Regions from separate parts of the Mus musculus genome. Here regions 2 and 3 are each reported to be linked to region 1. The links are microRNA targets in miRTarBase. Many come from high-throughput screens and were not tested one by one. Region 1 holds a microRNA gene; each other region holds the end of a gene's coding sequence.

Evidence for each region. The annotated mature microRNA mmu-miR-30d-5p reads UGUAAACAUCCCCGACUGGAAG and lies in region 1 at 5,494-5,515, opposite strand. An mRNA with a match to its seed (bases 2 to 7 or 8) in the 3' UTR can be bound and repressed. Matches are read on the target gene's strand: a 7mer-m8 pairs with bases 2 to 8, a 7mer-A1 pairs with bases 2 to 7 and ends in A, and an 8mer does both.
Region 2: miRTarBase lists Amer1 as a target of mmu-miR-30d-5p. Seed matches in the 3' UTR shown: 8mer at 5,012-5,019 and 8mer at 6,249-6,256.
Region 3: miRTarBase lists Hoxb3 as a target of mmu-miR-30d-5p. Seed matches in the 3' UTR shown: 7mer-A1 at 3,613-3,619.

What each region holds. Positions count from the first base shown.
Region 1 is chr15:68,335,764-68,346,531 of GRCm38, forward strand. Mir30d (microRNA 30d) reads right to left here and starts at 5,526; the gene lies at 5,445-5,526. Mir30b (microRNA 30b) reads right to left here and starts at 1,747; the gene lies at 1,652-1,747.
Region 2 is chrX:95,417,028-95,427,795 of GRCm38, reverse strand. Amer1 (APC membrane recruitment 1) reads left to right here. Exons shown (of 2, transcript NM_175179.4): 2 at 1-7,483. The coding sequence ends at 2,684. Among named protein-coding and RNA genes, the nearest start is that of Amer1, 22 kb to the left of the region's middle.
Region 3 is chr11:96,343,790-96,354,557 of GRCm38, forward strand. It overlaps Hoxb3 (homeobox B3), which reads left to right. Exons shown (of 4, transcript NM_001079869.1): 3 at 311-907; 4 at 1,757-4,141. The coding sequence starts at 460. The coding sequence ends at 2,610. Hoxb2 (homeobox B2) reads left to right here and starts at 7,843. Exons shown (of 2, transcript NM_134032.2): 1 at 7,843-8,406; 2 at 9,161-10,227. The coding sequence starts at 8,022. The coding sequence ends at 9,840. It overlaps Hoxb3os (homeobox B3 and homeobox B2, opposite strand), which reads right to left and starts at 9,605. Exons shown (of 4, transcript NR_155303.1): 1 at 9,271-9,605; 2 at 4,505-4,599; 3 at 3,038-3,100.

The DNA.
Region 1 (10,768 bases):
TCTGGGTATTCTGTACTTTTTTTTGGCTAATATCCACTTATTAGTGAGTACATATCATGCATGTCCTTTGGGGTCTAGGTTCTCTCAGTCAGAGTATTTTCTAGTTCTATACATTTACCTGCAAAACTCATGATGTCCTTGCTAATAGCTAAATAATATTCAATTGTGTAAATGACCCACATTTTCTGTATCCATTCTTCAGTTGTGGTGCATCTGGGTTGTTTCCAGCTTCTAGCTATCACAGATAAGGTTGCTATGAACATAGTGGAGCAAGTGCCCATGTGGTATAGTGGGGCACCTTTTGGGTATAAGCCCAAGAGTGGTATAGCTGGGTATTCAGAAAGATCTATTTCCAATTTTCTGAGAAACCTCCAGATTGATATTCAAAATGGTTGTACCAGTTTGCAATTCCACCAGCAATGGAGGATTGTTCCTCTTTCTCCACATCCTTGCCAACATGAGCTGTCACCTGAGTTTTTGGTCTTAGCCATTATGATTAGTGTAAATAATCTCAGGGTCATTTGATTTGCATTTCCCTGATGACTAAGGACTTTGAACATTTTTAAAAGTACTTCTTGGCCATTCGAGATTTTTCTGTTGTGAATTCTCTGTTTAGCTCTCTCTATACCCCATTTTTTGATTCGGTTGTTTGGGTTTTTGCTTCTTGAGTTCTTTCTATATTTTGGATATTAGGCCTCTATGGGATGTGGTGTTAGTGAAGATTTTTTTCCTCAATCTATAGGTTGCCAATTTGATTAACTGACTACATCCTTTGCCTTACAGAAGCTGAGAAGTTTCATGACGTTCCATTTATTAATTCTTGATCTTAGAGTCTGAGCCATTGGAGTTCTATTTAGGAAATACCCACCCCCACCTCCCCAGCCCAGTGCCAATGAGCTTGAGGCTCTTTCCCACTTTCTTTTCTATTAGAGTCAGTGAATCTGGTTTTATGTTGAGGTCCTTGATCCACTTGGACTTGAGCTTTGTGCCAGGTGACAAATATGGATCTATTTTCATTTTTCTACATACTAACTGCCAGTTAGACCAGTACCATTTATTGAAGATGCTTTCTTTTTTCCACTGTATATTTTTTGGCTTCTTTTTCAAATATCAAGTGTCCATAAGTGTGTGGTTTTATTTCTGAGTCTTCAATTCTATTACATTGATCAACCTGTCTGCCTGGTACAAATATAAAAGTAGCAGTTAGACCAATCAGGTCTGTGAAAAGGGTAATGGATTAAAAAATCTTAAAATAGTAACAATAATGATAACTACCGTATGTCAAGAACATTCAACTGACATCGACTCACTTCATCAACAATCCTGTCAGGTACTATGACAATGCAATTCAGCTGACAAAGAAGTGGAGACCAGGAAAATTAATACTTTCCTTAATTATTATAGAACCTGAAGCTAGGCTTAAGGCTATTTAGCAACAAATTACAGTGATATGTAAGATTTACACTACTTCTGAATCAAAATATTGGTATCATCTATATTAAGATAAACAAGTATCTATTTTAAATAGTACAGCAAGTATTTACTGAAAACCTAAATATAAACAGTATTTATAATAAGTGCCCTTTAGCTGGGCATGGTGATATACTCCTGTAATGCCACTTAAGTCATGTATCAATATGTTAACTGGTGGATACTCCAAGACAGCTGACGTAAACATCCACATCCCAGCCAACGCATGTATGACAGCTGAGTGTAGGATGTTTACATGAACTGAAACTTGGCTTAGAGAGAGACTTGAGAACTCTTTACTATGTTTATACTTGGTTTTTTACTTGAGGCTCAGACAATTTTGCAGAATCTGTTGAAAAAAAAATTAGGCACAGTGATCTACATGAGGACAAAATCAACTTGAAAGATATCTTCAGAGTAAGTATAGAATCCACAGAAACAGCAAACATTTATCGTTCTCTCTTTCATGCTCTCTCTCTCTCTCTCTCTCTCTCTCTCTCTCTCTCTCACACACACACACACACACACACACACACGTATGGCAAGAACACAGGAATTCTATAGCTTTTCCCACCTAAAGGCAACTTACTGTTCTGACAGCATTCAACTTTCTCCACCCTTTCCCTCTCTCTAAACAACTGCACCTCCATTTATAGGAGCCCATTTGATGGGCAATACGGTGTACCAATCCCCTATTCTTCCTTAACACCCAGGTCCTTGCACCACAGGCATGGCTTTCCCATATCTCTACCATGGGCCATTATTTAAAACATGGTAGCAAGGGGTAGCACAAGGACATCTACCCCTTTCTGTGTTCCTGATTTAATTAAAAAAAAAAATCACCAAATTCCTTTACTAAACATTAAAAGTTACTCTTGGAATACTTTCATCAGGGAAGAAGTCCTTAAATTAGGAAATAAAATTACATATAACACTGTCAGCAAACTAAAACTTCCTGGCATTTCAAAGATACGCCATCACCTCAGGAATCTCCTGTTTTCCTGGAGCAGCATTCTCAAAACTAATCTATCCCCACCTCCAACTCCTTTCTCCCCTTTAAACATGTTGCTTTTTCCTGTTTTCACTACAATTACAGTTTGCTTGTCTGATTTCCTGCTGTTTTTTGTAGACACATTTAATTCTTTGGGGTGGGCCAGTCCTTTTTTGCAATCAAACTTTAGGGTTTGGCATGGTGACACACACCTATAATTTGAGTGCTCTGGATTTTAGTTCTAGAGCAACAATAGAAACTTAGGAAATAAAGCAGATTCCTAAGCTCTATCCCAGACTTACTAGGGATGGAACTCTTTTTGGGGTCCTGCAGTCTGTGTTTTAGTAAGCTCACTGTAATTGTGATGCACAGTAGTATTTGAAAGCTGTTTTTCCTAAGTACATTGGGAAGCTAAAGCACTGGCAGCAGTGACTGTCCAATAATCAGGGTGTGCATAATGTACTACTGACAAAAGTTGACAAGCTCAAAACCTGTACCTTACAGTTCACCCTCGCCAACCAGCCTAGGCAAACAATCTAAGACAGAATAAGTTTAAAAGGTGCATAAACTCAGGAAATAAAACTAAACCTGTTTTTCAAAAACTTAGCATGCACAATAAATATCAGAACAGTAATCCAATGAATGCAGTTGTAACAAAATCCAAGTTGGACCCTGCTAATGCAACAGTGAATATGTTCTGGGTTAGAGGTTTATGGTCCTTTCTCAACTACACCAAGACTATTGTTGTGCAGAGAGAGACTTGAGACCATGGAGACAATGAGGACTCAACCAAAATGTATCTTTTTTCTATGAATATTTCTGAAATAGATTTGTAGAATGTATTAACTCAGACTTTATATACTTATAGTTGTCTGCTTAAAAATTAACTCCTAAATCATACACTGAGGAATAATATCATTTGTACAATGGCTGAGAACTACCTCGACATTTAGTATTCGTTGGACCAAAATAAACAAACATACAATAGTAAATAAATTTCTGAGATTTTTAAAACTGTACCAAAATTTACACATTTTCTCCTGAAAACCTAAGTTAAAGGCCAAGAAAACAATCTGTTTTAAGTTTATTGGAAAAGAAAGACAACCCAATTTTCATGGCTCAACATTCAACTGTCAATGGTGCAGGCCAACATGAAGTTTGTGGTGTTTTTAAGTTAAAACATAAATAAGTCATCTGCAGATGACGAAAAGGCTGTACTTAAATACATAGAACCAAGAACATTGAGGACGCAAGCGGACATGGTCTCTGATTTTCTTTCATTAGGGCAGAATAATACACAACAAATGTTTCACACTAGACTAGCATTAACCCTGAAGCATCCAGGGATAACTAGACTAGGTAAGCAGAGGATGGTAGCTTTGTGCATAATGACTCCTCCTCTTTTAGCTTAGATTTGACTTACCATTTAAAAAAACACTTCAAATAATTTTTAAATAAGTAAACCATGTAGTTTTTATCCATGCCATTGAATTTTAACTTACACATCAAGGTTTTATGGAAAATAACCAATGCCACCTGGCCAAACAAAATAATTCTATTAACAGAAGACACATCACACTCTACCTTGGCACAGAGAACTTTATGGGCTCCTAGCAATATCTCTGTCCAAAAATGATCAACCAAGCTCTTCTCTTAAATTAGTCTTGCACACTACCTTTCTAACAAAGTAGTACTTAAATGGATCCATAATAAAAACTGGAAATGCAACTCAGCAGTAGGTCGCTTGCTTAGCATGTTCAAGAACACTAGGTTCAAACTCCAGCACCAATAAACAAGTAAATGGAAATATACTATTAGAATAAAATCATTATTAGAGTACTGTATATCAATATACACATTTTATACATATGGTATAAAACGCAGAATTATAAAGACATAATATCCATGTCTCCAGAAAGGCTACAATCTAATCCAGGAGAAGCATATAAGAAATCAGATTGGCAGGAACTGTATCTTCTGTTTTAAGTCTAAACTGAACCTAACTCAGCTTAATAGTAACGAAAATAATGTCTGCTGGGTATAGTGGTGTGTACCTTTAATGCCAGCATTAAGCGGGCAGAAAGCTGGTGGATCTCTAGAAAGCTGGTGGATCTCTAGGAGTTACAGGCCAACTAGAGCTACACAGTGAAACCCTCTCTCAAACAAACAAATAAACAAACAAACAAGCAAACAAACGTCTTAAGAAATAAAGCTAATAGTAACCCAAAGAAAAATGTAAGTGAGAAAACATTGTAAAAGTTAAAAAAAAAAAAAAAAACAACCAAAACCAAAAACCAAACCCAATCAATCAAAAACCTCAGTAAGTTATGAAATTACACTGGTTCACAATAATTTTTGTCTATGATAGAAAGCCTAGATTATTTAGTATTGTGGAGAGAAATAAAAATGGAAAACAATACAACTACTCCCAAGGCAGCTGGGAGCCAAGCAATAACCTAAAGCTATCAGGTAGCTTAGTTTAATCCACAAGGGCATACAGAACCATTAGCAGATGTTGTGAAGAGGTCTAGTGGTTTGGGATTTCCAGACTGAGAAGAACGCTCTGATTAAGATTAGTTTCATCACAGGAGGAGGAAGCAAACATTTACATACAAATTAAGTACAGGGAAACCTGAAATTCCTAGGTTGTAGACTGCTGGGTGGGTGGTAGACATGAATAACCTACAGAGTTTATAGGGAAGAAAGTTGGTTTTCAGGATTGTTAGGAAGTTAAACTCTAGCCTATTTGAAAAAGGTATAAAGGATAAACTTGTACTGACACGGCAAAAACAGTATTAAAACTTGTTTTAGACAGATCCTCTAAGGCCAGAAGAAGCATGTTTAGTCAGCTCCCAACATTAGAAGCTGCCAGCAGAAGCAAGCAGTAAATGAATGCTCCTCAAGATTTCTGATGCATCCCAGGCATTTCTCAGCATCCTCAGCTCCAATCCTTAGGCCAGATTGTCCAAAAGATGCATTCGAAGAGCCAGTAGCAGCAAACATCTGACTGAAAGCTTGGCTGTGGCTTACAGCTTCCAGTCGGGGATGTTTACAGACACAGACTTTCTGACAGCAAGCTACAAAGGAACAGAGCAAATGGTCAGTCATTGCTTCCGCTACCGACTTTCACAACTGCGGAGCTGAATGACAACTGTGACATCTTGGGGGGAAAAGACAAACAATAAAGTAAACAATACTAGTTAATAAGGGAAGATAGTAATGTCTCTTGAATTATCTAATTAGAAAAGATTCAATACAAACTTTTCTATGTTACTCCACATGGACACATTTTTCTACCAGATGTATATGTTTTCTTTCTTCTCCACAAATCCAGAATTTCAAAATTAATAATAAATAACAATCTAAAAAGTAGATTGACCATACATCTCAGTTTTCCCAGACAGTCCTAAGTGATAGTACTATTAGAATTGAAGTTTCTCATTAACCAAACTGTCTTAATTTAGACACAAGTTTTGCTGGCAGTAACTCTATGCTGAGAAAGATTCTAATATCTTCCTCCCTATCCTTAGCTGAACTAGGTTAGGAATGTGGGCCATGGAAATGAACTAAGTGGGTAAGAAGAGGAACAATACCCGCCTTGGCTTTGCTTACAAAACAACACCGAAACATTTTGCTTTTGTTTCTTCTATTAGTTTCCTGAAAGAGAAAAGAAAGATTAAGTGATAATAGTAAATTTGTACTTTATAGATTAACTTTAATCTGAGACATATAAATTAACTTAAAAAATTAAAGTCTATTGAAGCAATTAAGTTTACAAAAAGCCAGTGATTTCTAAGAAATACAGTCATACACAAGCATCTACACCACACAAGAATAAACATTCAACAAGCTAATGCAAATCTAAAACATTACAAACTTCCTAAATACATACTACAAAGTAAAAGATTCTAACCACTGAAAATGCCCTGTAACATTGGTGTACTGGTGTACCCAAGTACATTATTACAACTTTCTTTAAACAACTTTTCCCTTTGTCTTTAGTTTATATTTTATAAACAATTAAGAAGAGTTTGCCAGATAATCTTTTCTTTAGAGTTATGAAGGGATTTTTGTCGCAATGCCATCTTTATAAAATGCTGAAAGAAGTTTATCTGACCAAAGCTTATTATAGTAGCACCATTTTATGTAAATAAACAGTTATTTAGAAGACATTTTGCTGCATCTCATGTTCATTTAGCACAACAGCAGTAACTGTCCCAGTAGGACCTTCCAACAAAAATCTTTTGACCAGGTTTACAGAACTGTATGTGAATTGCCTCCTATACAATAGGCATCAACCAAATCCAATCAGAAAGCAATTGATTACTCCCATAACAGATTTGCCACTATTACATAAGTAGGCTCATTTTCCCTAGTTAGCTGCTACTGTTGTACACAGGATTCATAGCTGAGTATGAATGTTGATAAGCTTCTCCCATCAGCCTGTGTAGTACCTCCCAGCACTATGGAGGCTAGCCAGCAATAAGTTTCCAGCCAAGTTCCAAACTATTTTCTCTAAGTCCTATGACCAAGGCATGTGGTATCTTCAGCATTTCTGGCAGGTAACCAACAGCAGTGGTGACTGGGTGTATTGCTTGGGGGCCTTGGGCTCCTCTGACTAACAGTGCATTACTCTTCTTAATGTCAGAAGTAGTAGCACGTTACTTTTCCATTTACCAATACTTTGCAAAAATAGAAAAACATACAGGCATGCATGTCCAAACAAAAATGTTTAGTGGAACAGTATTGCTGTGCATCAAACTGTAGGTTTTCATAAAGTCAATTTGTCAAAATGCTCACATAGATATATACTATACCACATTTGCCACAACTTCTCTTGTACAATGTAGAAAATAATTTAGATACCTTAATAGAACTAACATGTAACAATCCATAATGAAGATATTTTCAACACCATTGTTTTATGTTTGTTTTTTAAAGATTTATTTATTTATTATATGTAAGTACACTGTAGCTGTCTTCAGACACCCCAGAAGAGGGCATCAGATCTCATTACAGATGGTTGTGAGACACCATGTGGTTGCTGGGATTTGAACTCAAGACTCTGGAAGAGCAGTCAGTGCTTTTAACTGCTGAGCCATCTCTCCAGCCCAAAACAATTGTTATAAGAAACTGTTATGGTTTCTATATGCCTCTCAAAGTTAATGTGTTTGAAAACCGCTAGAGGTAATAATGGTGAGGTCTATAAGGGGTGACAAATAACTACAGGGTCTTTCCTTAATGAACAGAGTAATGCTAACACATAGGAAATGGGTGAATTATGTGGAGAAGGATCCTTGATACAGTATAAATCCATCCCATCTCCCCACTATATGCTGCCCACTACCTCTCTGCACCTCTGTTCTTTACTCTGCCATCAGAGGATACACTGTGAAGTTTTACCAGATACTGGTCTTTGAGTCACAACTTCTCAACTTCAGAATTATGAGAAATAATGACATTAAAGAAAGGGCTGTAAGGCACTGGATGGAAGAGAAATAACTGTACTTACTAGAAGAGGAGAGGAGAAGGGGCTTTTTTTTTTTTTTTTTTTTTTTTTTTTAAGTTCTGTTAAGGCCAGGATGGTGTTTGGATGGGGAAAAAAAAAAAATCTAAGTGATCATCAATTCACCAGTAGTTTCAAAACAAGAAGACGTGACAAGTAAGGAATAAATAGCAGCAAAATGAAGACTATCCTAAGTACATTTTAAACAAACTTCACTAAATGATAGCATGATGCTTGAAGACTGGGACTACAACTGTAGACATCTCTTTGATGTAGGAGCTGCAAAGGGCACTCACAGAGAACCATTTCCAGCAATACAAGGGGTAACTGGGAAGTCTATGGTGTCAATCAGTATATCAATGGGAAATTTGTATCATTTCTAGCAAGGAAAATAGTACAAGCTTCAATAACCAAAGCACGCTTACTCCAGTTCATACACAAGCACTCTTAGCTGACAGAATTGCAGAACAACAATGTTCTCAGAAAAGACAGGCCTGTGTTGTATGTCTCTCTTGGCTTCCTAAAATGACTACCAAAGCCACAACCAGAGACTCTCGGGGCGATCTTCTGAAAGTCTGTTCTCAGAAGGCAGTGCTCTATAGATAGTAATTAAGAATCCACCCGAGCTTTACAATTTGACAGAACTAGGCCGAACATTTAACTTTGGGACTTTGGGAAAATGACTATTTTTCTGTGACTCTTTTACCATTTGTAAAATCCCTTAAGGTACCTATCTTACTGAGTTATTGCCAGAAATGACTAACATAATGTAAAGCTCAATGGCAGGTAAATGGCCAGTATAAAATAAATGGAAATAAAAATCATCCTTTACTTTATTCATGTGGCTCTTATAATTTTGAATTGTTTGTATTTCACTTTTTAAAAGTCTTTCAAGATCTAGTTCAAATGTCAAATTGTTTACAAAAACATCACTACAACCAGCAACTTGAAAAATAACAGACATGTATCCATTAAAAAAAAAGAGTAATAATCTGTACTCTTTGTATACTTACTGGTTCATATACATTAACTTGCTCAATCCCCAACACTATGACAGGAATTGCATCATCCTATTTTTGTAAATAAAAGGCACCTGTGCAGAGCCCGCCCACAGAGCCTGGTTCCAGAGTCTGTTCCTGTACCACCGCTGTGCCACCTGTACTGTTAACTGAGAAGGATGATTAGTTATTGCACAGAGCTCTTCTACAACCTGGCACTTTCAAGTGTAGTATGGAAGGAGGTGCCTTAAACATCAAGTCTTCCCTTTGTCTACCTTATTTACCCTTTGTAGAAAGTACATCCACCGTTCCACACCTTTTCCACATGAAATAAGGGAGTGACAGTCATATAATTTGTGTTCATCATATTTTAGACTAGTAACTTGAGTCTAATTTTCTCAGTTAAAATTCTAAAACTCTAGCTCTCTTCTTCCTAAAAGAGAAAGAGAAAGAGAAAGATGAATAACAGCTTTATCCTCACATGACCCCAGGGAAGGATAATGTCAGATCACCTGCCATATTAGACTGTCAAAAATGGCTGTCATTAATATTTTGTGCAGATGTAATATAGTTGTCAGGAATCAACTAATATTCTCAACAATGTATGCCATATTTACAGATTTTGGTCTTATGGATACTTAAATTCAGAAAGTCTTTTGTAGATAAAAGATATTATTTCAAAAAAGGCAGACTCTGGAGTACGGAAATGGGCTCTAAAAAATACAAATGTGAACATTCTTTGTATGGAAGACAGGAAGTATCTTTCCTTTTGATTAAAACTTTACAAAACAGACTTAAGAGCTAAAATAAAACACACCAGGTCAAGAGCTAATGTTTAAGTTTTATAGAAAATTCTAAGCTCTTGAAAGACACAGGCTTAGAAGGAGGCTATGGTCCCTCCCTAATTGCAGCAGCACTCCCTTATGTTGTTTTCTGAATTTCTGCTGTCTTTAAGATTCTGACTAGAAACCAACAATGAACTTCATTTCATGTGCTAGTTTTTTTCAGGGTTAGGCATGCCATAAAGTTAAAATGCACAAATTAACAAGCAAAAAGATCACTGTCCCTATGTTACCTTTTGAAATTATTTAAAAAACCAAGAATTAGCTTGGTCTTTTGGCATGGGCCTGTAATCCTAGGTACTTGGGAGGATGGGGCAAGAGGAGTTCAAAGCCAGGCTGGGCAACTTCATGAGACCCTGTTTAAAAGAATAAAGACGACGGGGTATAATTTAATAGTAGAGCCAATCCTGCCCCATGTCATCTCACCCTTGCCCTGTGTGTGTGTGTTGAGGTTGAAACACATAGCTTTTTGGGTGCTATGAGTTATGAGCTACATCTGCTATCTTCTAACTGGGTTTTTATGTAAAATAATAAATGCTGCCATTACGGTGGCTGTTCAGACAAGTATCATTGTTTAGATACAGATTAGCCCACCAGGCTTGACACATGGGCTTCAAACTACAGTGTTTAGCCATGGGGTATGGCAGGGAGGCTAGACAGTAAAGTATAAATAGCCAAGGCAATGTACTATATCACTGAAGAAATGGTCTAAGCCCACCCAGGTCTATATGGGAACAGACCTTAAACTTAAAGCTACTGAACAGAAATGCTTACCACATCCAACTACAACAATCTAAGCTTGCCTTTGTCACATTATTTAATGTGCATTGCAGTCATTTACTTGTCTGTTTTGACATTACTTAAGCGGCTGACTTAATCTACTATTTTTAGTCCAAAGATAAGCATAAACAGTATAGGTGAGAAACAGATGACCGACACTGAAGAATGCAGCAGACACAGC
Region 2 (10,768 bases), not on the chromosome of region 1:
CTCCAGCACAAGTACATTTTTCACCAACTACTGAGAAGGCAGCTTGTAAAAATCCAGAAAAACTCACAAGGACCTGTGCCTCAGAGTTCATGCAGCCCAAGCCTGTTCTTGAAGGTGGTAGTCTAGAGGAGCCCCACACTTCAGAAACAGAAGGAAAAGTGGTGGCAGGAGAAGTAAACCCACCCAATGGCCCTGTTGGGGATCAGCTAAGCCTCTTGTTTGGGGATGTTACATCGCTAAAAAGCTTTGACTCACTGACAGGTTGTGGTGACATTATAGCAGAACAGGACATGGACAGCATGACAGATAGCATGGCCTCTGGTGGCCAGAGGGCCAACCGAGATGGGACCAAGCGAAGTTCCTGCTTGGTAACCTACCAAGGAGGTGGGGAGGAGATGGCCTTGCCAGATGATGATGACAATGATGATGAAGAAGAAGAAGAAGAAGAAGAAGAAGAAGAAGAAGAAGAAGAAGAAGAAGAAGAAGAAGAAGAAGAAGAAGAAGAAGAAGAATTATTAGAGGATGAAGAGGAGGTTAAGGATGGAGAGGAAAATGATGACTTAGAGTATCTGTGGGCAAGTGCCCAGATATACCCAAGATTTAATATGAATCTGGGCTACCATACTGCTATATCTCCCAGCCACCAGGGCTACATGCTTCTTGACCCAGTTCAGTCTTATCCTAATCTAGGCCTTGGAGAACTTTTGACACCTCAGAGCGACCAGCAAGAGTCTGCTCCCAATAGTGATGAAGGTTATTATGACTCTACCACACCAGGATTTGAGGATGATTCAGGTGAGGCTCTGGGACTTGCCCACAGGGATTGTCTACCCAGGGACAGCTATAGTGGTGATGCGCTATATGAGTTCTATGAGCCAGATGACAGTCTTGAGCACTCCCCACCTGGGGATGACTGCCTATATGACCTCCGTGGACGCAACTCAGAGATGTTGGATCCTTTCTTGAACTTGGAGCCCTTTTCTTCTCGGCCACCTGGGGCAATGGAAACCGAGGAAGAACGGCTAGTGACCATCCAGAAGCAGTTGCTATACTGGGAACTTCGCCGGGAGCAGCGTGAGGCTCAAGAGGCATGTGCCAGAGAGGCTCATGCCAGAGAAGCTTATGCCCGAGACACCCATACTCGGGAATCTTATGGCAGAAATGTCCGAGCCCGAGAAACTCAGGCCTTAGAGGCTCATTCTCAAGAGGGTCGAGTCCAAGAGACCAAGGTACGGCAGGAGAAGCCTGCCTTGGAGTATCAGATGAGGCCCTTAGGTCCCTCAGTGATGGGTCTGGTGGCAGGGACATCAGGAGGTTCTCAGACTTCTCACCGGGGAACCACTTCAGCTTTCCCTGCTACTTCTAGCAGTGAGCCAGACTGGAGGGATTTCCGTCCTCTGGAGAAGCGTTTTGAGGGGACTTGTTCCAAAAAAGATCAAAGTACTTGTTTAATGCAGCTCTTCCAGAGTGATGCCATGTTTGAGCCAGACATGCAAGAAGCAAATTTTGGAGGCTCACCCAGGAAGGCGTACCCTAGTTACTCACCCCCTGAGGAGCCAGAGGAAGAAGAAGAGGAGAAGGAAGGGAATGCCACTGTGAGTTTCTCACAGGCCCTAGTAGAGTTCACCAGCAATGGAAACCTTTTTACCAGCATGTCCTACAGCTCTGATTCTGACTCATCCTTCACTCAAAACCTCCCTGAGCTGCCCCCCATGGTCACCTTTGATATTGCTGACGTGGAACGAGATGGAGAAGGCAAGTGTGAAGAGAATCCTGAGTTCAACAATGACGAAGATCTTACAGCCTCCTTGGAAGCTTTTGAGCTGGGTTATTACCACAAACATGCCTTCAACAGCTATCACAGTCGGTTCTACCAAGGCCTGCCCTGGGGAGTTAGCAGCCTCCCTCGATACTTAGGACTCCCCGGAGTCCACCCTCGACCTCCTCCTGCTGCAATGGCACTCAATAGGAGAAGCCGTTCCCTTGACAATGCAGAGTCTCTGGAGCTGGAGCTCTCCAGTTCTCACCTAGCCCAGGGTTACATGGAGTCTGATGAGCTCCAGGCCCACCAGGAAGATTCAGATGAAGAAGGTGAAGAAGAGGAAGGAGAATGGGGTCGGGATAGTCCCTTGTCTCTCTACACTGAACCTCCAGGGGTCTATGACTGGCCTCCCTGGGCTCACTGTCCTCTTCCAGTGGGGCCAGGTCTTGCTTGGATGAGCCCTAATCAGTTGTATGAGCCTTTCAATCAGTCTTCCTATGTGCAGGCAACCTGTTGTGTACCTCCTGTGGCAATGCCAGTGTCAGTGCCAGGAAGAACACCTGGAGACTCTGTGTCTCAGCTAGCTCGACCTTCGCACCTACCCCTGCCCATGGGCCCTTGCTATAACCTTCAATCACAGGCCTCCCAGAGTGGGAGGGCCAAGCCTCGGGATGTACTGCTGCCTGTAGATGAGCCCAGTTGCTCTTCCATTTCTGGAGCCAACTCTCAGTCTCAAGCCAAGCCTGTAGGTATCACCCATGGTATCCCTCAGCTGCCCAGGGTGCGGCCTGAACCCTTCCAGCTTCAACCCAATCACTATCGAGCTTCCAACCTTGACCTGTCAAAGGAGAGGGGTGAGCAAGGTGCCTCTCTCTCTACCAGCTACTCCTCTACTGCCATGAATGGAAACCTAGCCAAGTAGTTATCAATTCCAGAATGGAGACCTGAGCATGTGAATTGGGGGTCAAGGGTTGGGCAGAGGGGTAGGGGTGAGTAGTGCTGTTCCACTTGAAAATCTTATTGGCTAAGATAAACTCCTCTGAGTTTTCACTTTGCCCACCTTCCTCTGCCATCTTTGGCCAGGTTCAGCTCAATTATATCTGCCTAGGGAGGCTGCTGCTTCTGTGCTCCAATTTTTGCTTTGGAGTTTCTTGTGACCTATACAGGGCTTGGGATGCATCCTTATTGCAGGCTGAACCCCTCTTCTCTGGTCCCTTGCTGACTAATGAACCACTGATGAGCAGCCAATTTTTTGCACTGACTCTCACCCAGAGATGGGAGGCTTGCTAGCTATTAGCAATATAAAGTTATGGTACATAGCCTTCCTAACCCCATTCCTTTCTAGCACATCAAATGACTATAACCTATTTATCCCAGTTAGTTATGTTTAGAGTGGGTCAAGTAGCATGTGTCTCGCTCCCTGTTGCTGTGGACTTTGGTATCACAACTAGATGATGTCCTTTTAACCTGGCCTGCCATAGTCTAGATTGAAGACAAAAACACTAATCCTCATAAGGGGGTGATTAAATCTGTCCATATTCAAGCAGAATACAAAGATAGATAGCTTATGGAAAATGCTGTGAGGTCTTGAGCTGTGGAATAATAATATATCTATCTTGTTTGTTTCCTAAGCCTGTGGCTGTTGCAGGCATTTTAGAACTTCCCCCTTTTCCTGTCCCTGAAAAATTTCATCTCATCACAATGAATGTAGTATCTTAACTGAGTTAAAGGAAGAGAAGCCACCTAAATTGGGCTTGACTATATAGAGCATTGGGTGTTGTGAGATGCAAAAGAGGAAAACAGACAGGGTGATCCATTTATCTAAACACCAAGAAGGGATCTCAGACTTTGGAACTTGAAGCAACTCAGATTAGGAGGGAAAACTTTTCCCATCCTTTCTCCCAAACCAAAAGTAAATAAATAAATAAACCCTTGGCCGCCCCTTTGTAAAGTGGTTCCAAGCTTGTCTAAGACAGGATGCCAAAGGCATCTCACCTGTTGTAGGCACACTAAAAAGCTTTTATCTTCCAGTTAGCCAAGTTCTTAGCATTTTCAAAGGACCAGGCTTCTTGAGAGGAAAGATTGTAATGTACCCTTGCTCTGCCAAACTACAGGGCTGATTTGCATGGCAGTTGCAGTCCTTTCTGAAATGAACAGCACCCTCTCTTCTCTTGCATCCATGCAGGTTTCTTTTTCTTTTTTCTATATTTTTTTTCTGGACAAGGTCCCACACTGTAGTTCTCTCTAGCCTGGAACTTACCATGTAGACCACGATGGCTTCTAACTAACAGAGATCCACCTGCCTCTGCCTCCAAGCAAGCCCAGCCTAAATGTTGGAAACACTAGGGAAGAGCTTGGTGTCAGGAAAACATTGCAACAGGCTCATCTTGACCAGGTTCAACATTTCCTTAATCATCTATATGAAACAGTTTCTTTAAAATTCTCCATCAGGCCCGGTGTGGAGGTATGTGCCTTTTATCTCAACACTCAGAAGGAAGAGGCAATTGGAGTTATATGAGTGTGAGACCAGCCTGTTCTACATAGTGAGTTCTAGGCCACTAGGGCTACATAGCAAGATAGACCTTGTTTTAAATTTTTTTCTGTATTGGAATATGAAATATTTTGGGGATCGATATGTTGATCAAAGTTAGAACTTTTTAAATCTTCTGCCCATGTCCCTCTTCTCACCTCAAAGCCATCTTCACATCTACTAAGTGAAGATATCAATAGGGCTCTTGCTCAAAATAAGGCAATTTACCTTGAGAACAGATGCTGGTGGCCTTCTGAGTCAAGATTGCTTTGTAGACATACTTTCTTTGCCAGGGCATATATTCATAATATTTTTCACAGTTTCTAAGCTTGGGATTGGCCCTGTGCCTTTCCCCCAAAAGAGCAGATTTGATTGGTAAAATCTAACCCCTTGTAAGTAACTTCATAACTTTGCATGGCACCAGCACTAGAACCACCCCTCAAGGACCTCAGATCAGCTCTCTTGGATGACTTTGGCTACATCACGAAGAAGTGCATCTCTTGTGGATCTGGATAATGAAAGTGAAAAAGGCCTTCCTTACCCCAACCACATCGTCATAAGAGACACATGCCCAGATTTTAACCACTTGGCCTCCTACCAAAGCTGTTCTGGGAAGGTGAGGCTGAACTTAGCCTGGTTGGGTGGCAGGAAGTAAGCACTCAATGCCTTTACAACAGGAAAAGCCACACCTCTTGCCTAGTCAAGGTAGCTTGAGTTGCTGTTTACATGTCGCTGCCATCTACAGCAGGCACTAGAGCTGTCCACAGCCTCCATAGCCCACTGGAGAAGGGCTACCAGCCTGTTTGGAAGAGGAAGAAGGAATCTACCCTCACAGTTCAGGAGGACAGCACAGTGCAATATCTCTGAAGGGACCTGCTATAACTTGGATATATTTTGCTATGCTTTGAAACTTCATACCTTAGAGTAGGACCTGAGGCAAAGTAGAAGTTTGTGGATTGGGTAACATCATTGCCTTCCAAGTCCTTTCACTGATCTGGCTGCTAGCCTAGGGACAAAATATTTACAACCTAAAATGGGATAGCCAAGATGTCTACAGAAGCAGACTCCTTTTGAGTATCTAAAGCAAATACTAACTGCAGCCTAGAAGGGGAAAGAAGATTTGGCTGCGGATATATGGTAATGGCAACATGATTACCAATGGGATATGTAACCAATCTCTAGGTATCTGTCCAAACATGGACAAGTACTTCCTTTGCTGGCACCAAATATGCTACAAACTACCAGAAGTGCTGCTATTGTGTTCACCCTAAGGCTGTGGCCAGATGAACCTCCTGACTCCATTGCAGGTCCTTGGACAATGCATTTGGATGTGACTTTAAGGGAAGATGTGCTGACAGAAGGAGGCTAGCTTTATGTTGTTACCCAGTACTACTATATAGTGTCAGCTCTGATCCTGAGAATTTCTTAGTAACCCAGTCCATAGAGGACCAGTGACTGTGGGTATGGAAAGCCACCTAGCAGGCCTCTTCCAAAGCCAGGATGCCAATTTCTTGGTGCTTTAGATTCTCCAAGGAAGCTCTGCCTTGGGGATCATCTGGCTTTAGCTTAGATACCAGACCACAAGCCTCGTGGATAATGGTTTCAGTAAATGCCAGTGTCCCTCCTCTTAGTGCTATTTCAAGGAGGGAAGTAGCTTTCCACACTCAGAATGTTGGGTGCATGATTTCATCCTGCCACCAGTGGCTTTTTCACCTGCACCAGTGCCACCACTGCCTTCAGCCCTTAGGCTCACTTGCTAGAGGGAGGCATGGGGGTTTACCAGGGATACTTCAAGTTTACCCATGTGTATGTTGCATCCAAGTTGTTTTTAATATATATATATAAATATATATATCAAAAGCTAATTATCTATTTTTATATTGTTTGCATTTTATATTCATGGAAACAATGTTTATCAATTGTTCTTTTCTGATATATTTTATTTTTAAGCGGTGCTGTTTACAGTTTTAAACAAAAAAAAAAGATGACACAAAAAATGCTGCTGCTCGTGCAGAGGGATGTCATCTCAAAGTGTCTAGGACCCTCCCTCTTTTCCCTCTCCCACCTGGCTGTGTCACACTATTCATTCTCTTTCCACACGGTAAGGACAGAAGATGCCCATGTACCGAAGACCAATACCAGGTAACGCAAGCATGTGGACCCTGGCAGACAGCATGTTTTCTAGCTTTCATTTTATTTACCTTTTGAGCCCTTCCTTCTCTTGTGTAGACGTTTTGAAAGTACTCCTGCCTCTTGACTTTTATTCTTTTCCTTTCTTTATATTTTGTGCTTGTTTTTTGCAAAGTATCATGCCCATATTGTGTGGTTTGTTGTATTAAGTTTCTCCAATGGAGCATTAGGGGCTCATTCAACACCAGGAGACTCGGGATGACAGATGACAATGCTATTTCAACCTCCAGGAATTGGTCATCTCCTTGGGAGACACCCTTGAATGAGACTTGCCAGCAATTTAGAAGATGGCAACATTGTCCAGAAAAGGCATTAGGTGATTCCTTGGTCCCTCTTGCTACTTTGGGAGAATCTCTCCACATCCTGCCTCCTCCTTCCCTTCCCTGTTCCAGCTCACAAGTGGATGGTACTTTTGGAAACTGAACTCTTGTTGTTTTGTTTTTTTATTGTAAGTCTTAGCCCTTAATGGCTGAGTTGTCTCTTTAACCAGGATGGCACTTTTAGGAATGGTGACTGTTACAGTCATGGCTGGGTGGCCTGATCCACGGTTTCTCCATCCTGTAGTCATTCCAAAGAAGAAAATCCACATGGCATGTACATTTGTGAGGGTTGGGTCTATTAAGAGGGGGCTTTAATTATTCCTGTTACTATTGGTGCTTATTTTCCCCGCTGTATATGGGGGTGGGGAAGGGCTGGGGTAAACCAGAAATGTATATTTAGGTCACGTTAAATAAAATGGCTGGGGGAAGAAGAAAGATATGAGTCTAGGTGTAAGAGTTCTCTCTTCCAGGACAGAAAGGGGATTGTAGCTTGTTGCTGCACCTGAGCTTCCCTTCCGCATTCCTGAGACATCATGGAATCATCTGCATTTGTTACCTCTCCATCCCTAGCACTCACTGGCATCTGGATATCCTGATACACTGCCTGTATGTTACAACATATATTTCATTTGCTGAATGCTAATAAACTTCTGTGCTCATGAGGGACCTCCAGTCACTAAAGTGTTTTCTTGTTGTTTGTTCTACAACAGCATTCATGTGATCTATGGGTGATGGATTTTCTCTTAAAGGAAAATTGAAAAAAAACAAAAAACCTCATGGTATTAAGGGAGTCATTCTATAGGCAAAACAAGCCAAAGCTGAAACGGAAATTAGAGGAAACTTCCATATTTCATTCAACTTGTGCCATGTATCTTAGTCAGTCTTGTCACACCATCTACACTCTAAGACCTGTTCCTGAAGTTTCTGTACATTTTCAGGGACTAATTTGCACTTCTGCAGTCAGTCACAGGATGTGCTAACCCTCCACCAAAAAGGAGCACAATGGAAAAGATCCCTGGGTTCCCTTTTCAAACCAGAAAAGAGACTAAGTGACCCCAGGATCTCATGAATCCAGGAAAGTCAGAAGGAAATTAGAAGATAGAGAATCTCATCAGAGGGGAATTGGCATTTTACAGAAAATGAGATCTGTGTCTGTGCTGCTCAGTTAGGGAATGGTAGGTTTTGATTGCCAAGGGGTGTGTGTGTGTGTGTGTGTGTGTCTGTGTGTGTGTGTGTGTGTGTGTGTATGTATGTAGCAAAAGCATTGCTGAAGTCTACCTAGTCTGATCGCATTCATTGGAAATTAACTGGAATTAAGATATCAAAGTGGCCCAGGCCTCTTCACTAAGTTTTTGTGCCTTAATCAATTGATCATCAATAATTTCCTTAAATGCAAATTAAAATATTAGGCTATGTATGAGTAACCTAGATGACTTTTTGTTTAATTTTGTGACTAAGTAAAAGACTTGGCTTTCCTGGAGCTCACTGTATAGATCAGGCTGACCTCTACTCAAGATGTACCTGAGGCTATCCTCGTAGTGCTAAGATTAAAGACATACAACACCACAGCCAGCATCCTATAGGATTCTTTTCAACTAAGTTGAACCTTTTCCCCCACACCAGAAATTCAATTGGCCTGAAGTAGGATTCTGCTACTATTTGTATTGCCCATATGACTGGTATAGTAGACCTACTAGACAAAATAGGTGGAAAACATGCTTCTGTTTTTGGCTGTGGTCCCTTAGGAAGTCTTTTCAAATGAAAGCATAATTGTGGAGGGAATCTGCTAAAAAACATATACACACACACATGCACAATTTGAGAATTTCATACATATAGCCTGTAATTTGATTATATTCACTTGTAGCTCATCTATCTCAACTCCTCCCAAATCAGGTAACTCTCATTTTAGTCCATTCCATGCTGTTCTGTGGTTTGAGACCCAGCTTTTTACCTGCATAGCAAGGTGCCTTTCTTCTGTTTTCCTTTAGAGCAAAAATAAACAATAGGTAAGGACTCATAATAGATAGGGAAAGCTGTTAACTTCCCACTGCTCTACCCACAAGGAGGGATCTTGGTCCTACTGACTGTCCATTCCTCTGAATAAATCCTAAGTTTTAGCTACACTACAAACTTTCTACAAGTTAAACTCAGCCAGAAAAATCAAGTAACTCAAGGGCAACAATTTCTAGTTTAAAATCTCTTTTCCGGAGCCCCGGGCTACCTTGCCAGCAGAGTCTTGCCCAACACCCGCAAGGGTCCACACGGGACTCCCCACGGGACCCTAAGACCTCTGGTGAGTGGATCACAGTGCCTGCCCCAATCCAATCGCGCGGAACTTGAGACTGCGGTACATAGGGAAGCAGGCTACCCGGGCCTGATCTGGGGCACAAGTCCCTTCCGCTCGACTCGAGACTCGAGCCCCGGGCTACCTTGACAGCAGAGTCTTGCCCAACACCCGCAAGGGCCCACACGGGACTCCCCACGGGACCCTAAGACCTCTGGTGAGTGGAACACAGCGCCTACCCCAATCCAATCGCGTGGAACTTGAGACTGCGGTACATAGGGAAGCAGGCTACCCGGGCTTGATCTGGGGCACAAACCCCTTCCACTCCACTCGAGCCCCGGCTACCTTGCCAGCTGAGTCGCCTGACACCCGCAAGGGCCCACACAGGATTCCACACGTGATCCTAAGACCTCTAGTGAGTGGAACACAACTTCTGCCAGGAGTCTGGTTCGAACACCAGATATCTGGGTACCTGCCTTGCAAGAAGAGAGCTTGCCTGCAGAGAATACTCTGCCCACTGAAACTAAGGAGAGTGCTACCCTCCAGGTCTGCTCATAGAGGCTAACAGAGTCACCTGAAGAACAAGCTCTTAACAGTGACAACTAAAACAGCTAGCTTCAGAGATTACCAGATGGCGAAAGGCAAACGTAAGAATCCTACTAACAGAAATCAAGACCACTCACCATCATCAGAACGCAGCACTTCCACCTTACCTAGTCCTGGGCACCCCAACACAACCGAAAATCTAGACCCAGATTTAAAAACATTTCTCATGATGATGATAGAGGACATCAAGAAGGACTTTCATAAGTCACTTAAAGATTTACAGGAGAGCACTGCTAAAGAGTTACAGGCTCTTAAAGAAAAGCAGGAAACCACAGCCAAACAGGTGATGGAAATGAACAAAACCATACTAGAACTAAAAGGGGAAGTAGACACAATAAAGAAAACCCAAAGTGAGGCAACGCTGGAGATAGAAACCCTAGGAAAGAGATCTGGAACCATAGATGCGAGCATCAGCAACAGAATACAAGAAATGGAAGAGAGAATCTCAGGTGCAGAAGATTCCAGAGAGAACATCGACACAACAGTCAAAGAAAATACAAAATGCAAAAGGATCCTAACTCAAAACATCCAGGTAATCCAGGACACAATGAGAAGACCAAACCTACGGATAATAGGAATTGATGAGAATGAAGATTTTCAACTTAAAGGGCCAGCTAATATCTTCAACAAAATAATAGAAGAAAACTTCCCAAACATAAAAAAAGAGATGCCCATGATCATACAAGAAGCATACAGAACTCCAAATAGACTGGACCAGAAAAGAAATTCCTCCCGACACATAATAATCAGAACAACAAATGCACTAAATAAAGATAGAATATTAAAAGCAGTAAGGGAGAAAGGTCAAGTAACATATAAAGGAAGGCCTATCAGAATTACACCAGACTTTTCACCAGAGACTATGAAAGCCAGAAGAGCCTGGACAGATGTTATACAGACACTAAGAGAACACAAATGCCAGCCCAGGCTACTATACCCGGCCAAACTCTCAATTACCATAGATGGAGAAACCAAAGTATTCCACGACAAAACCAAGTTCACACAATATCTTTCCACGAATCCAGCCCTTCAAAGGATAATAACAGAAAAGAAGCAATACAAGGACGGAAATC
Region 3 (10,768 bases), not on the chromosome of region 1:
AGAGGGGCAATGGTCCACGAAGCAGTGGTGTTCTATTCCTAAGCGGTCCTCGAAGGAGTACAGTCTTGATTTTGTTTTAAAAAAAAATGGAAATGAAAATGGATGTTTTCTTTTTCCCGTTAAAATTAAAGTTGAAGTGTGAAGCATCCAAGTCAGGTTAGATACTTGGTCTCAGCGTCTGCTGCAGAGATACTGGCGAGGGGAGAAGAAGAAAAAAAAAAAACTATTGATGTCAGTTCCCTTTTTAGTTCCTAAGATGGATTCGAGGCCCAGTCCTCTTCTCCCCTCTGTCTCTTCTCTCGCCCCGCAGGTCAGCCGCTTGGAACAGACCCGAGAGGAGGGGGGCAGAAAGGGGAGGGGGGTCCGGCGTGTCACGTGACCCCCAGGGGTGCCAATGTCCGGTCGTGAGGGTATCAGGCCCTTGCAAGTTGCCACCCACTGCCCGGGCCTCGCCCAGCGATGCAGAAAGCCACCTACTACGACAACACCGCAGCTGCGCTCTTCGGAGGCTACTCCTCGTACCCTGGCAGCAATGGTTTCGGCTACGACGGGCCTCCCCAGCCCCCCTTTCAGGCCGCCACGCACCTGGAGGGTGACTACCAGCGCTCAGCGTGTTCTCTGCAGTCCCTGGGCAACGCCGCCCCACATGCCAAGAGCAAGGAGCTCAATGGCAGCTGCATGAGGCCAGGCCTGGCCCCAGAGCCCCTGCCCGCACCTCCGGGCTCACCCCCACCCAGCGCCGCACCTACCAGTACCACTAGCAACAGCAATAACGGGGGTGGGCCCAGCAAAAGCGGCCCCCCCAAGTGCGGTGCCGGCTCCAACTCCACCCTCACCAAACAGATATTCCCCTGGATGAAAGAGTCGAGGCAAACGTCCAAGCTGAAAAACAGCTCCCCCGGCACAGGTACCAGCTCTCTGCCTTCCTAGTCAGCTTTTGTCCAACCCAGGAATTTCACTGTTATTATAGCATCCGACCCCAAGGCGCCCACAAGGCGGCCTGGAGACAATATTAGATGGCTGCCTAGTGCTTTTTAGCTACCTCTCACTACCTGATGACCTCTGACCTGACCAACACCCAGTCCATCCAACCATCCTCCATCTGGGCTTCCAAGAGTTTCCAGGAGGTGGGATGGTTGGCTTTACAGCCCTTCCCAAGGCCGCACCGCCTGGAGGCACAGAGTCATCAAGGATAGATTATTATTAAGTATGATTATTGTAGGTATTAATCACCATCGCTCAGGCAGCCTGGGGTCCCGGCCTGCAGCCACCCGAGCCTCTATGTGCCACACATCCAGGCCCTGCCCACCAGTGTCCAGTCTCCCCCCCCCCGCCCCCCTCCCAAGGTGTTCTCAGTCACTTGTCTTGTAAAGAGGGCGGACAGAAGGGAGGAATCACCTCAGACTTGGATTTGGATATACGGGGAGGGTGCGCGCACACGCAAAATCCTAGCCCTAAATAAATGGCCACGCAGCTCTGTCTGTTTGACATGATCAAATTTTCATAAGCTGGGGCCGTGAAAGGAGAACAGGTCTCTTAATAAATGCCACTATTATAGAGTGTCCGCTAATGCGACGGGAGGTAGGAAGGGGGGGGGTGGTGGTGTAGAGGAGGTGGGGACGCGAAGGGGAGGGCAGCGGGGCCTCCGAGTCCAGGCCTGGATTTATTAAGAAACGATGCATTCAATTTCGGCGTGTTCAGTAATTATCTTTTATTTCATTTTCTCCCCTTCCCACCCCTCCCCCCTCGGGTCCAGCAGAAGGTTGTGGTGGTGGCGGCGGCGGTGGTGGCGGCGGCGGCGGCGGTGGCGGCGGCAGCAGCGGCGGGGGCGGCGGCGGCGGCGGGGGAGGGGACAAGAGCCCCCCGGGGTCGGCCGCGTCCAAGCGGGCGCGCACGGCGTACACAAGCGCGCAGCTGGTGGAGCTGGAGAAGGAGTTCCACTTCAACCGTTATTTGTGCCGGCCGCGCCGGGTCGAGATGGCCAATCTGCTGAACCTCAGCGAGCGCCAGATCAAGATCTGGTTCCAGAACCGTCGCATGAAGTACAAGAAAGACCAGAAGGCCAAGGGGCTGGCCTCGTCCTCTGGGGGTCCCTCTCCGGCCGGAAGCCCCCCGCAGCCCATGCAGTCCACGGCCGGCTTCATGAACGCCTTACACTCCATGACCCCCAGCTACGACAGCCCGTCCCCACCAGCTTTCGGCAAAGGCCACCAGAATGCCTACGCGCTGCCTTCCAACTACCAGCCCCCTCTTAAGGGTTGCGGCGCCCCACAGAAGTACCCCCCGACCCCGGCGTCGGAGTATGAGCCCCACGTCCTCCAAGCTAACGGGGGCGCCTACGGGACGCCCACCATGCAGGGCAGTCCGGTGTATGTGGGCGGGGGTGGCTACGCGGATCCGCTGCCGCCCCCTGCCGGCCCCTCCCTCTACGGCCTCAATCACCTTTCCCACCACCCCTCGGGGAACCTGGACTACAACGGGGCGGCCCCTATGGGCCCCAACCAGCATCATGGACCCTGTGACCCTCACCCCACGTACACAGACCTCTCCTCTCACCACGCACCGCCTCAGGGTAGAATCCAAGAAGCGCCCAAACTGACACACCTGTGATGGGAGGGGCGGGCTGGGGAGGGAGGGGTGAGGTTAAGGGCCAGGGAGACGGCGGACTTGGGGGATGGGCGCGGTTTAGAGTCCTGAAAGAGGTGTGGGATGGGGTTGTCGCCAGGTTTCCAGAAACAGAACAGGCCTGGGGTGCCTTCCCAGCTCCCAGGCCCCCTCCCCGCCCCCAGGGGCTGTCTTTTAAGTCCTCCATGCCTGGTTCCATCTGTCTGCCAACAACCCTTGGAAAGGAATCCACAGCAGGTTGGAGACGGGACCACATCAATCCCAGGGTTCCCAGGGTTCCAGCACTACCAAGTGGGAATTTCAGATTGGAGAGGTGACGTGGAGTCGGGTAGAGGGAGCCAAGACAGGCAAGCAGGGCAGAGAAGCACATTCAACACTTAATGGCTTGGCTATCAGCAAGCAATCAACTTACCTTGCATCTCTGTGGGTAATTTCCCCAAAATCTTGATTTTTTTTGTTCTCCCTTTCAGTCTCCCTGTGAAAAATAAGAAAATACATTTAAATCGAAGGGCACAAAGTATGTTTCTCTCCTACTTCCCTGAAGCTTCAACTCCCCCCATCCCCCATCTGTTAGGCTTCTTACTATATCTATCATTTACTATGGCCCTACGGTTGGTTTTCTGCTCTAAGGACATTCATATCTACACCCCACCCCTATTGATTACAATTTTCAGAGGGCTCAGGGATGGTAAGATATCCTGAAAGTCAGAGCTGCCTATAATATAAATAAATATATATTTTTTTTCTTTTAAAGAAAAGTTAAGAGGCTAAGGCAGGCAAGTTGTCAGGACTGGAGGCTTGCCCATTCTCCAGTCTCTCAGCTCCCACCCCATCCCACTCCCTCCACTTTCTTTTTACTTCTGTTCTTCTCTTGACTTAACGTGAAAACAGGGTATATTTGAACAAACTGTCTGTCCTGGCAGGTGCTGCAGCTGGACCTGTGGACCTTGCTCCAGTTCCTGACAGGACAGTCTTGTTGCACTTGGAGTTTACATTTTAATGGATATTAAAAAAAAAAAAAACAACTGTGAGAGATGTCTGGGCCTGCAGAAAGTCCAGCTTCGCTCAAAAAGCGTGTGTTCTAGTGAACATTTTCATATATATTTATTGGTTATAGCCTGTTAAAATATTTTCTTTTTTGTATTATTTATCCCCCTACATTATGTATTTATATGAGGGACAAAAAAAAAAAAGAAAAATGTACTTTTTTAGTATTTACTTGTTATAAAGGTTGTTGTGTTTCCTGTCATGTAAAACCAGCTATTTTAGTTTTTATTGTATTCTAGACAAGAGCTGTAGATTTATGTTAAACTCGTACATATGAGGAATTGTAATTAGTTCTAAAAGGCATGAACTCAGCTCCTAAATGTCACTGTATAGTCCCGAATTTGTAGAGATAAGAAGTTAATTCTCTCTTGGAACTTTCTTTGTTCTTCCGTAGTTATTTTTTTCCCCCTTAGTTAAAAGAGTTGTCTGTCAAAACAATTCTTGAATAAACTTTCTGTTATTAATTTTATCTTGTCATGGTGGTCCAGTTCAGGGTGCAGAAAAAGGCTCTAGTGGCCAAATGTCCCCTAGCAGGAGGGCATTGGTGACACTCCCCAGGCTCTTTGCTCACTGCTCAGGTCGCTGTCTCCCCTTCCTAGTGTTTCCTGCTTTCAACTCAGTTTTTGACATTTGTACCAGTCTGGACCATTCTGCCAAGTTCTTCAGCTAAGGTTTAAGCAACAAGCTTGGGGGGCGGGAGGGAGGGGAGGGAATCTTGGGCTAAGTCTGCTCTTTGCCTGTCTGTTTTTCTTAGTCACTGGCCTCTTTTGTCCCTTTGACCAGCACCTCCAGGCACCCCCTCTGTTTACATCCAGGCAACCCCAAACCTAGCTTATTACTGCTTCTTCCAGGCAACCTAAACTTCACGTTCTCTTCCGGAGCTACAATGAGGCTGTCACGTGACCCGAAGCCCAACCATCATTGGGTCTAAAATGAAAACAAAGGAAAATGATTAATCTTGGGGGGGGGGGACAACAAGCCGAGGCCTAGACTTCTCAGGTCAAGCCTTAAAACTAAAGCGAAATCTAATCATTAAATGAAGCCCAGGGCAGAGGAAGAGGAGGACTGGTTAGATTTCTCCTGCCAAGGAAGAGAAGGGGGCGAGAGGAAGCTGTAGAAACCAAGCTTAAATAAAATGGTCCCCAGGCTAACGTGAGGCTCTGTTTCCACGATGCTTGGGAAAACTTCATTTCTTAGTCCTGGTTCCATAAAAGTTTTATCACATTGGAGCGAGGATGGAGAGGGTCTGTCAAAGATGAAATGTCACCACCGCATAGCGGTATCCGATGATAAGAGCAAGAGCGAGGAGACAGGGGAGGCTGAAATATGGAGCTAATTCGTTGAAAGAGAAGCGATGGCTGCCCGCTGAAGAGTTACATAATTCTAATTGTAAGCGATGAACCCGCATTGCTTAATTAGGAGCATATATTTGGTGGTAGTGGTGATACGGGGTGGGGGGGGTGGGGATATAAGAATCTTTCCAGGCCCTCAGCCTTAAAGCGAGGGCTGATTTTCATTTTTATGTTGTATCCTGGCAGTCCAAGGTTAGTAATTACAGTCTTTATGCAACAATAAATAACAATAAAAAAACAACCTGAATAATACGCCCCCTCCCCACCAAGTAGAATTTTTTTAACTGGACTTGGCTCATCTGGGCAGCAAGCAATTTAGCATTGGGCCAGGCTATAAATTAAAGGCAGAGGAGCGTGCAATGTTTGATTGGGATCAAATAACGCTCAAGGGTCTGTCTTTCCTTTTCTCTTCCTCTTCCCTGAATACCATTTCTGAATGATATAACTATGAGAAGGGTCATGTTTGACTGTGAGGGGAAGGGTGGATTGCTTATTTATCTAGCTGAAGAGGAACCAGATAAGAGAGAATTTAGCTAGCTATATTGATATATTGTGGCTTGGAGCTAGGGCTCTAAACAAAAATAGGACCTACCCTTCTGTTTTCCAGATTCTAGGTCTAAAGCTGTTTAAAAACATGGATAAAAATCTGCTCTGTAAGGTAGCAGACAGGGCTGGACGGATGTCTCTGGAAGGGAGGGAGGGTTGGAGGGTTTTCTTGGATCCCCACTTTAACACCCAAGTTTTCTACTGTTCACTAATCTGGCCATAAAATCTGTCATCAAGGGTTAGAGAGCTGTATTTCCTACAGGACAGTCTGGGCTCTGGTTGTCTTAGGAGATCCTTGGATGCTGCAGCCAGCTGGAGTGCCTGTTACAAAACTTGTGGAAGTGCCCATGCTGCCGGGGAGAAGGCCCTCTCCCAGGCCTTACTGTACAGGACTCCCTTCCAGACAGTTACTATTTGGATTCTCCTCTGCTAACCACCATCCAGGAAAATATATGCATACATTGTTTTGTTTTAGCTAAGGTACACAACACCCTCTCTGGCCGCTGGCCTAGTTAAGAGCAGTTTCCCAAGAGCCTGCCTCTTTCTGTCCTTGCAACCACCACCTCCAGGTTTCCCTCCTTCCCCCCCCCTCCCGCTTCCCGGCAAACTTCTCTGCCTTTTTCTTTTCTTTCTTTCTTTAAATACTCACCACCACCCACGCGGACGTTACACTGACAGAAAGTTTCTAGTTCCAGCTCTCCGCTGAGTTGCCATTTCTCTGCTAAGCAGCCTTCTCCTCTAGGCTAGGCGACAGAGAGCGAGGAGGGGGAGGGGAGGCCAGAGCCGTGGGAGTTCTCCGGGGCAAACTTTCCACCCAAGTTAGCGCCTTCCCTCTGTCCCCATTTCCCATCTGTTTCCTAGATCTCCCAGAATCACCTTTCTCTTTGGCTCCCCCCTCCCTCAGGCCTTTTTAAGGGATATGCAATTTAGGTTGTTCCCTCTGCTTTCCCAAAGAGCCAAATTCTTTGATGCAATCGGAGGGAGCTGTCAGGGGGCTAAGATTGATCGCCTCATCTCCTCTTGGTCCCTCTGACCCACTTATTTAAAAATCTTCCCCCAGCCGACTTTTCATTTTCAGCTTTGAGGCCTAGTTTCCCACCAATTTGCTTGTGGCTCTGAGGTTTTTTTGTTTTTGGTTTTTTTTTTTTTTTTTTTTTTTTTTGTTGTTTTTTGCCTCCTTCCTCTAGTAAATCACAATATTCTAAAATTGAGCCCATCATAGGTGCCTCACCATAGAATACATTACATTTTTTTTTCTCTCTGGAGGCCCAAAGCAGAATATAATCTCAGTGGTGGTCATTATCCCCAGCCCCCTCTCCCCCACCATCTTTAGGAAATGTTTTCTTACCAGGGATTTTAAAAGTAGCCCAAAGGCAAATACAGAGGGGGAAATCCCTTTGTCCAGAGGGCGACTGTGCACTGACTTTAGCTTTGAAAGTTAAGTGGATGGCTACTTTGGTGCCCTGGATAGAGACACAGATACACCTGGGGGCCTGTGAATACATCTGTCACCTTAGACCTTCTTAGACCCTCCTATTGCCAGGGTTGGGGTGTCACAGTGTGAGTACAGATGACCCCAACAGGAAGGCAAGTGGACATAAGAAACTGCTTGTAAATTCTGAGCAGAGACTAGAATCCAGGGCACATAGCAAGGGAGGTAGGCCCATGTCCCAAAGTGCTCCTGGAATCTATGTCCCTGCTGCGTGCCAGCTCTGTGCATTTCTTAAGTGTGAACTACTGCTTTCTGAGGGTGGGTGGGCTGCCGCTGCTGCTGGTGTTTAGTGCTGTCCTTTATCCATCTCCTTTCTGATTTCCCCCAAGGTATGGAAGCCTCTTTCTACTCCCACTTCCCCCTAAATGAGATTTTTTTTTCTTTTCTTTTGGGGGCTGAGGTGGTGGTAGGGTAAGAGGCTACTGAGGGCCACATAAAGAAAGCATATTAACTCACTCCATTTCTCCCTTAAATGTGGTTGTTTGCCACCACCACACAGTCTCTGAAGGGAAGGAAGAGGTTCTTTTGGCTTTTCTGGGAAAAGAGAGCCATTAGGGAGAGTGTAGGGTACTGATGAAGGAACAGGGGTAGAGGAGGAAGCCTCATGGTATCCAGGTCGTGGTCCTCTGGAGTTTTTGAATCAATTAAAGCAAATAATGCCTGTGTTTTCCACTAGGCCTAGACTAGCGATTGGCGGAGACCGGTCCCGTGACCATGAATTCCCTGCAATTTCGGCGGAGTCCTGGGTTTAATAGAGAGAGTCCCCATACGCTTGTATTTATCAGCAATATACAATTATAAAGGCCTAAATTTAAAAAAAAAAGAGAGAGAGCGAAATCTCCCCCCCCCCGCGAAATTGCTCCATTGCATAAACCTGGGGGGGGCGGGAGAGGGGGGTCCCTCTGATTCTCCCTCCTGACGCCCCCCCCAGCAGGCCCCCTCCCCCACCATTGAAAGCCATGAATTTTGAATTTGAGAGGGAGATTGGGTTTATAAACAGCCAGCCATCGCTCGCCGAGTGTCTGACTTCCTTCCCCGCTGTCTTGGAGACATTTCAAACTTCATCAATCAAGGAGTCGACATTAATTCCTCCTCCTCCTCCTCTGGAGCAAACCTTCCCCAGCCTCCAGCTCGGCGCCTCCACCCTTCAGAGACCAGGGAGCCAAAAGCAAGCCGGAGATGGGCCTGCTCTGCGGTCACCGCCGCCACTCCCCGTTGCCCCCCCAGCCCCCGAGTTCCCCTGGATGAAAGAGAAGAAATCCACCAAGAAACCCAGCCAATCCGCCGCATCCCCTTCTCCAGCCGCCTCCTCGGTCCGGGCCTCCGAGGTCGGATCACCATCAGGTGGGTAAACGTATTAGGGGCGGGGTGAGGGGCAGTTGGAAGAGAAGGGGAGAATGTGAGGTGATGGGGCTCCTGGTGGGGTTCCCTAGGTCGACGGATCTGGGGCGAGGGAAGCAGAGTATCCCGCTGGGGTTCAGGCCTAGCCACTGTTAGCTTCCCCACCCCCAGAAAATTTTGGAAGCTGATTGAGGGTGGGGAGGATGCTTTTTTTTTTTTTTTTTTTTTAAATGTGCTTAGAAAAAAATGATTCGATTGAAGGGTTTCCCCGGTTTCTGTGTAGAGGAATGAAGCGTGTCTGGGATTGAATCTGGAGCCTGGAAAAGATGCGATGCCTCTAGCTCTCCTAAAGCTAGGGAAGAAGAGGGAATTCAAAAGCTAGGAAGGAAAGGGGTGAAGAACAATCTATGATCCCTCTCTCCCCAGGTTGAGTTGGAAAGTTCTGAATTGAGGGGTCCATTGGGAGGACTTGGGGGAGGGAGACTCTGAGGTCCTGGGAGCTAAGAGAAATTGCTCCCCGCCCCCTACGTGGCCCGTGGGCGGCTCTGAAGGCACCGACTTGACCCGGGCCGGGTCTGCCTACGTGGAAGAGCACTAAAAAAAACCCCAAAGACACAGAAAGAAGCGCTGTGGGGGTGGGGTGGGAGCCCGAGTAGGACTGCTGAGAGTCTTTTAAGCCAAAGGGGTGCTCCCGATCTCAGCTAAACGGAGGCTGCGTTGAGACCTCTCTGATAACATAGGGGTGCTTCCCTCGCAGATGGCCCCGGATTGCCAGAATGCGGCGGCAGCGGCTCCCGCAGACTGCGCACGGCCTACACCAACACGCAACTGCTGGAGCTGGAGAAGGAGTTCCACTTCAATAAGTACCTGTGCCGGCCGCGTCGCGTCGAGATCGCTGCCTTGCTGGACCTCACCGAAAGGCAGGTCAAAGTCTGGTTCCAGAACCGACGCATGAAACACAAGCGGCAGACGCAGCATCGAGAGCCGCCCGAGGGAGAACCAGGCGGGCCGAGCGCCCAGGACGACGCGGGAGAGCCAGCCGAGGAACCCACGGTCAGCCCGGGCGACGTCGCGACTCACCGGCTGCGGGAAGCCTGCTTCCACCCCGCCGAGGCCGCGCAGGGACCCCGGGGCGCACCGCCGTCAGCGCTGCCTGCCACCACCCTGGAGAGTGTGGGCGCATCGAGCCCCGGCTGCACAATGCTCAGAGCCGGAGGCCGGCAGAGCGAGCCCCTACCCGAAGACGCCTGCCCCGAGCGGCAGGATTCGCCTTTTCTACCGGACCTCAATTTCTTCGCTGCAGACTCCTGTCTCCAGATGTCCGGAGGCCTTTCACCCAGCCTGCAGGGTTCTCTCGATAGCCCCGTGCCCTTTTCCGAGGAAGAGCTGGACTTCTTCACCAGCACGCTCTGTGCCATCGACTTGCAGTTTCCCTAACTGTTTTCCATCTTTGGTCCTTTCCGTCTGGTCCTCCTTGGCTGTTGGGGGCGGGGGGAATCGGGCCTTCTCCACTCGTGGATACATTTATGCCGTTTTGTTAAAATCCAGATAGTAACGAATTAGCGTTTCATTCACTCCTTTTCGCTTTTTAAAACCACACACAAAAAATTCCACTTGGTAAAACTCCTTCCAACGAAATCTCAGGAATAATTAAACTCTAGTGGGAGAGGGTTTTCTTACAAAGAACTAGAGGGACCTATTTTCCTCTTTTTTAAGTTTTAGATTGTAGATTATTTATTAAAATTGTTTAATAATAGGAAAGGGGGAAAGTATTTATTGTACATTATTTTCATAGCGTAAATAAATGTCTTTATAATATGAAAACGAGTGTTTGTGTTGGGATCTAGCTCTTTTTGCCAAGTCCCTACGGCCAGTCTTTGCTTTCCCACTCTCCGCTTGAAGTTGGTTTAGCTCTGGCTCAAGCGACCCAAGGGAAGGCATGGTCCCATCTCCCAGGCTGACAAAGTCCGGGTGGTACAAAAGGGGCCCTGCTTGGTGACTATTTCTTTGTCCAAGACACCAGGAAGAGTTTATGGAAGCTTGGTTCATCTGCAAACAGACCGTTTCCAGTCCTGCTAAGATGTTCCCTGGGTCCCTGCTTGGAAATAAATGTGGGGTGGGTGGAAAAACAGCGTTCTGGGGGGGGGGGTGCAGAAGCGGGTACAAGAAAATGTCTCAGAGGCCAGCTTTGAGCCTTGGAGGCTGCGCAGAGGGTTAAAAGAGTTGAAGGAGAAATCCTTGGGTTTGCTAGCCTGCGGGCTTTGAGTCTGCAAGCTTAGGCCGAGGCCTGCGCTGTGCGCCCGATGCTGCCTTGGGGCTCCAGGTCCTTGAGGACTAGAATGGGGCTTAGGAATTTTGTAGGGAA